Oryzias latipes: one gene and its partner. The protein of the gene in region 1 interacts with the protein of each later gene in a pairwise test. Links are inferred from orthologs where the notes say so. Each region holds a gene or a part of one and is shown in the gene's direction. Other genes may lie near its edges.

Evidence for each region.
Region 2: the proteins of lrrk2 (region 1) and lrp6 interact in binary tests that used the Homo sapiens proteins (3 or more experiments, as listed by UniProt). The link is inferred for Oryzias latipes from reciprocal best matches to the Homo sapiens genes LRRK2 and LRP6.

Annotation. Positions count from the first base shown.
Region 1 is NC_019864.2:2,156,222-2,159,721, reverse strand, and holds part of lrrk2 (leucine-rich repeat serine/threonine-protein kinase 2), read left to right. Parts: intron 1-1,913; coding exon 1,914-2,134; intron 2,135-2,209; coding exon 2,210-2,337; intron 2,338-2,418; coding exon 2,419-2,637; intron 2,638-2,719; coding exon 2,720-2,921; intron 2,922-3,500. UniProt on the Homo sapiens protein: Serine/threonine-protein kinase which phosphorylates a broad range of proteins involved in multiple processes such as neuronal plasticity, innate immunity, autophagy, and vesicle trafficking.
Region 2 is NC_019881.2:23,650,698-23,654,197, reverse strand, and holds part of lrp6 (low-density lipoprotein receptor-related protein 6), read left to right. Parts: intron 1-1,676; coding exon 1,677-1,874; intron 1,875-1,950; coding exon 1,951-2,147; intron 2,148-3,500. UniProt on the Homo sapiens protein: Component of the Wnt-Fzd-LRP5-LRP6 complex that triggers beta-catenin signaling through inducing aggregation of receptor-ligand complexes into ribosome-sized signalosomes.

The DNA of each region.
Region 1 (3,500 bases):
GTATTTTCAATATTGCTTAATGTAGCTTCTCCAGTATTTCTAAACTGAATGATGCCTGAATGGTACTTCAAAAATAAAGGGGGGGGGGGGGGGGACACTAATTCTTTCCAGAAACAATGAAGTGATGATGATGAGGCAGCATGACAGGATGAAGGAGACGCTTTAATGTGGCTAAGAGGCTTTGTTTACATCACAGTCTGCTCTGCACCGCTGCAGCCACGCGTTCTTACACGCTGAAGTGAACTAGTAATGGTCATCGCCACGATGTTGTCCTTTTTTCACACATCACTCTGATCCATGAGGTCACTGAACCAGAATCCATTGCTGTGAGGTTCTGCAGAACTTTGGCCCGCTTTGCCGATAGCATTTTGGCCGATGCTCCGTGCATTAGAACCCGTTGTGCAGCTGCAGAGCTTCACTCGTTCTTATCTGAGCCGCTACATAGCACCACAATCCATGTTTTCATATGTTACTGGCAGAAACATGGCACAGAGTTTCGGTTCGGTACCCATTCTAAGTAAAAACTAAGTAGTGCATGTCTCATAAAAACAAAACAAGCTGCTCCTCGCTGAGATCGTGTAGTCTTGTGTGGTGTAGAGCTGCTCAAAGAGGCTCAGTGGGCTCTGCTACCAACTAGCGACAGAGGTTTAAGTGAAAAACAAGAGTCAGACGCTGAAGGATGCTCATAAATAATTAAATAAATATCGTCCTTATAGCATCAGGTGTCGCCAAATGAACTATTGCAATATATCACAGAAATTATTTTTTTCTAACACCTTTCCTGCACAAGCAGCCCTTTAGTGCTGTTAACAAGGTAAGTGTGCTTGTTGTGTGCAGCCTCACTGTTAGAAAAGAGGAAATTGGACATTAAGAATGTGTGTGCCCACATGCTATGGGCATGTAGGTATCACCTGTGCAGGATTTATGGTCGGCATGGAGAGAGTGCTTGCACTTCCCCAATGACTAGACTGTGGCATTGAGACGCTGTACGACAGCATCACCTACATGTCATAAGTGTGTGTAACTTACATTATTCTTACAAATACTTTTCAAAACACACTCCATACCCATACCAGGAGCATCTTCAGTGCCCTTACGATGCAGCTGCTCCACTCTACGACCCTCCACAAACCTGGACATTTCAAAAACCCGTTACAGTTCAACACCCGGACAGGTGCATTAAAAATAATGCTACATTCACACTTCACACCGGGCATGTGAGAACGCACTAAACGCACGTTCAGCATATGGCGTTCACACTGGAATGTCGCCATCTGATACTAGCACATGTAGTCACAGTTGGAAGAGGCTTTGTGTGAAATGTCAAAGCAGTGCCAATCTGGTGAATCTTGCTCCAGGCTTTTTCTTTCACAGCTCTATTCCGATGAATGAAAGACTCGCTGTCGTAGAATTCCAGCCGAACACAAACCACAATTATTAATTTCTCCTCCATGATCAATTTTGAAATGGTTGGTACTTCCGTGAATTAAAGGGGATGTCATCCAAACGACACTGCCAAATCCAAGATTGGTCAAAGTTTAGCCTGTTAACTTTCAATGCACGTTCAGTGTTTCAGATGTAGAGCCAGAAAATTGACTTAAAACCTTTGCAAGTTTTGAACTCAGAGACCTGAAACCGCCTCTATGCACGTTTACATAAGCTTTTCATTAAAGTGGTTGCCTGAATGCACGTTGCTGTGGGAGATATGACTGTAGCTTCAGTCTCAAGCTCCGCCTCCACTGAGCTAAAGGTTCATCTGAGTGCTGCACAACCTGAGCTGTGCCTCTCTAACCCAAACGTCCTCTCTGCTGGTGCATCATGTCTTGGTTAATGATAGATGTTTGGCCTCATGACATCTTGAACAGAATGCAGTGGAGTCAGATTTGCACCCCGTTTCTGGAATTGTTTTTCAGGTCCCTGCAGCAGCGACTAAAGAAGGCGGTGCCGTATCACAGAATGAAGCTCATAGTGGTGGGGAATCCCAGCAGCGGGAAGACCACGCTGATCCATCAACTGATGAAGCAGAAGCGCCAGTTGAACTCAAATCAGAATGCTGCAGGCATTAACGTCTTAGACTGGACCATCAAGGACCGGGATAAGAAGAAAATGGTGCTGAATGTTTGGGACTTCACAGGTTAGAAAACCTGCTCAAGTTGAGGGTAACTTTGCTTTGGAAGGCCAGTCAGGAGTCCCTTTCCATCCTTAACAGGGGGGGAAGAGTTCAGTGGCTCCCATCTTCACTTCCTCACTTCCAGGGCTGTCTACTTGGTGGTGTACAACCTCAGTAAAGGATCCAGTCAGGTGGATGCTCTCAAACCCTGGCTCTTCACTATTAAGGTACGGACAAAGTCAAGGTGCATGAATTTGGCTTGTTTTCCTTCAGGTCAGACACTCGCTGCTCTCGTCTGTTTACTTCAGGCGGTAGCACCGCTGTCTCCGGTCATCCTCGTGGGCACTCATGCAGACGTGAGCGATGAGCTGCACTTCCAGGACTGTCTGAAGAAAACCAGGGCAGAGCTGCTGAACCACCAGGGCTTTCCAGCAATCAGGGATCATCACATGGGCTACTTCTGTGAGGACTCCGACTCCATTGCCAATCTCCGCAAGGCTATCACAAGGGAGGTCACCAGCTTTAAGGTGGAGCAACGCAAACACAGGATGGAAGAGTTCAAATCACGTCTACCTCAACCCTGCTAATGTTTTCTGCTCTTTTTCACAGATCCAAGGCCAGCTTGTCATGGGCCAGCTGGTACCAGACAGCTATGTGGAGCTGGAGCGTAGAGTTCTTCTGGAGAGGACCAGAATCTCGCCAGAGTTCCCCGTCCTCAGGCGCTACCAGCTCCTCCAGCTCATCCAGGAGTGTCAGCTGCAGCTGGAGGAGGCGGAGCTTCCTCACGCCGTTCATTTCCTCAGTGAAGTCGGTCAGTAGGAGTGGAGCCTCGAAGATGCTCCTGCTTTGTCTGGAAATGATCCCTTCCTTTGCAAATACCCTTTTGGCACATTTACCAAAAGTCTACTTTTACGACCAGAAGTTAGCAATTGACTCGAATACAAATAAAGGTCAAGGGTGTGAGACACTCAAATTCGTATTATTAACCTCTTGTGTAAACCACTTCCATCATTACGTCACGTGTGTCTCATACTACCATCACACGGGGCTCGGAAACGCACGTTTGAGCGACTGATTCCAATGTGAAAGCATGCTTCAAACCCTCACTATTCAACAGTGCAACAGCTTTTCCTTTACCTTGCTCTTGTTCTGCTTGTTTATTCTATTTATTAAGAGTACCACAGTACCATTAACATTTTCAATACAACACATGTCCTCACATCTTAATGACTGGAAAGGAGCAGTGAGAAGAATGAAATTTCAGTTTTATTTCTGCCCCCGTATATTAAAGCTTACAGACCCATTCTGATGAAAATCTTTAGAAGTTCGTCTCTGAGTTGTGGGAGGGACCGTCAGCGTGGAGCAACCCCTTCCCCTGCTTCCCCTAACC
Region 2 (3,500 bases), on another chromosome or scaffold:
GTACAATGAAATCATATGTTGTGTTTGAAATGTTCAAGGCAGACGTGGACCCGGCTCAGCCGCGGCGATGAATGCTTGGGGGGGCGGCACAAAGCGGCTTTGTTCTGCCGCGCTCTGCACGCCTGGACTCGGTCCAGGGCGCTGATGGTACGGTTCAGGGACCGGTCCAGAACCCAACCAGCAGCTGCTGGGAGGTGGTTGTCTCTGTGTGAGCGCTGCAGCAGCAGCTGGATCAGGACCACGGTTCTGACCCGCTTTAGCGAACCTTTCAGAAGGACTTTCGCTTTTCTATGGAGCAGATTTTATAACACTAAATCAATTCATTCAAGCTAACCGTCATCCGTGCTCCAGTTCCTGACCGAGTACCTGGTCTCTGCTCCTGCTCCTACACCTGGATGTGGATCCTGTCTCCGGCTCGACTCACACCCCCGACTGTCCCCCCAACTCCATCTGGATGAAGCTCGTCTGCTGGACTTTAAATATGTAGTTGTAGAGTTAGATAAGTTAATTCTGGTAAATCACCTGTCCGTCCTGGGGGAGGATCCCTCCTTCATGCGGACCCCCCTGAGGTTTCTTCCTTTTTCCAGAATCCGTTTTTTTAGGAGTTTTTCCTCACAGAGAGGGGGGGTCTAAGGGCAGGAATGTCCAGTTTAGTATTTTCCTATTGAATTCTTTGTATTCATGATCCTTTTGAGTTCATGTTTAACTTTTTCAATTACCGATACGAAACCATTGAGACGACTGTTGTTGTTGTGAATTTGGGCTAAACAAATAAAATTGAATTGACTAATGGAGAAAATAGAATTAAGTTTTGGATTCTGGAGCTACTTTTTTATGATTGAAGCTTACAGTCACAATCGTGTGACGTCGTTCCCAACCAACCAGCTGCTGTCACTCAGTCTCCTGCACAAGCACAGGCTCCTCCCCTTTTTTGAGGGGCTGTTCTATGACCTGATGATGGACGGTTCAGGCGCCCACCCCCTCCCAGAGTCACATGGCACCAGCCCATGTGTGTTTTGTAGTTTTTTGGGCTGAACCATTGAATGGACCGAGTGATTGTGACTTCGCCCGTAGAAAATTCAGATGCCACTTTTTAAATGATATGGATGCCGCCATGTTGGAGCCAGCAGTCGTCTGTAAGCAGTGCTGGGTCCTAGTTGGTCTGAGTCATCGTTTCTATGGCAACCATTCACACAAATCTGGAATGAGCTTGGTTTAAGGCCACACCCCTACCACTTGAAAGCGGGCTACATAAAATCTGTCAAATAATTTGGACATGGGGGGCCTGCAGGCCCCGCCTACTTTCGTTGAGGCATCTGGTTAATGAGGCTTGTGAAGAAGATGTTGAAAGAATGAAAAAGTTTATCCGATTCAGATGTTCTGTTTCTGATTTCAAATATTTAAATACTTTGGTTCTTATTTGATAAATTCTGTCTGAGCTTTGCTCATTTCCTCAACGTTCGCTGGAGTCCAGGATGATGAGTGGATGGGGTCGCCGTCAGGTTTGGGTTTGGTCCTGGTTTGGAAGAGTCTCAAAGCCTTAGATGGGTTCAGGACGCTCAGACCGGTGTCGTGGTTGGAGTTTGTTCTGCTGGGTTTTAAATGGCCAGTATTATGGTCAGACATCCCATAATACTGTTCTGGTCCCGTCCTCTGATGCTCCTCTGCTCCGTCAGGTTCATGTACTGGACAGACTGGGGGGAGGTCCCGAAGATCGAGCGGGCGGGGATGGACGGCACCAACCGCTCCATGATCATCCACAAAGACATCTACTGGCCCAACGGGCTGACGCTGGACTACAGCCAGCAGAAGCTGTACTGGGCAGACGCCAAGTTCAACTTCATCCACCGCTCCAACCTGGACGGATCCCACAGGTTCTGACCCCATCCCGACCCCCCACCCCACACTCTTCCACTGCTTGATTCAATTCCGTGTTCTTGCTCTTCACAGGGAGGTGGTGGTTAAAGACGAGCTTCCTCACCCCTTCGCCCTCACGCTGTACGAGTCCACGCTCTTCTGGACCGACTGGAACACCCACTCCATCCACTCTTGTACCAAGGAGACGGGGAGGGGCCAGCGCACCGTGCACTCCAACATCTTCTCCCCCATGGACATCCACGTGTTCAGCCCCCGGAGACAGCCCGTCTGTGAGTGACCTTTCACCGGCCCCGCCCCCCTATTTTCTGTTTCCTTTACATTACCTAGTGGGTTCTTGAGCAACGTTCTAGTGTCTGAAGGTTCATCCAGGTGACGTCGTCCTGAAGGTCAGTCCTGGCGCTCAGAGGTCACGTCTGACCTTCAGGTCTTCCACAAAGGTTATTGGATGATAAACGAGAATTTTTCCCGTTAAAGGTCACATTTCCCGCCGTGGGCCCCCACCTCCATACTAGTGATATTGTAATTTTGCACAGGTGTAACCAAAACAGGGCACAGACGTCACGTGAACAGAATGTGACACCCAGAGTAGCGGGGCTTCTGCTGGTGCTAATTTTGTGGGTTGATCTGTGCCCCCCATGTGTGAACGTTACGTCACTTCTTCTCTTCGCCAACATCGAGACAGTAAAGCCGCTTGAATCATCGGTAACATTTCCCAGCAGCTCTGTCCGAGCTGTTACCGGATACTAGGGCTGGGAATCACTGGGTGCCTCACGATACGATACTATCACGGCATGGTGATATTGTGATAATCGATATATATCGTCTCTAACAACTCACGATATATCAAACTTTAAGAAAGAAGAACTTCAAAAACTGTTTTTTGGAAAATATTTCCCCATTTATTTTTTAGTTTTTAAACACAATAATAATGAACAACTTGTGTCCTATTTGGTGTAATGAATAACAGACTTCTGTTTAACATTTCTGAAATCAGTAATACTCTGTCTTTGACAAAATGACAATTTTCATTTGGACATATCTGTAAAGTTTGGTTTAAACAATAGTTAACATGAACAGCAGCCATTATTTAGTACTAAACTACTGCAGTCAAGTAGCTGCCAGACACATTGGTACTAACTGTTGAAAAACAAAACCATGGCTATTATTTACAAAACTAGCTGTGAATCAGATATTCTGTGAACAAATTATAGTGTCTTTCTTAAAAATAAATGACACCATTTAGTGCAAATGTGGTGGAAACAAAAATAAAATTCTCCCAGAAAACAAAAATTCAAGTAGCTAGAAACTTTCCTTTAAGTTATATTAGACTTAAACTGCTTTCCAAATAAATGACCAGGAATAAAATCCATGAACTAAAGTGCATCTAAAAGTAAAACATCTTTGTGAACAACACGTGTCTGTGTCGGTATCCTCGTACGCTGGGGACCGAACTGCCATCAAACAAAACAGAAGAAGAAGAAAACGAGCACATGGTGGGGCAGGCCAGCCCTGGTAACTGCACATGTGCAGTAAGGACCGAGCCTGACTTTGTGACATTTTAGTTTCTGTTTCCTGGCCAACGCTGAGATTGCTAAGATCTGAGGAGAGGGTCTGTGAAATGC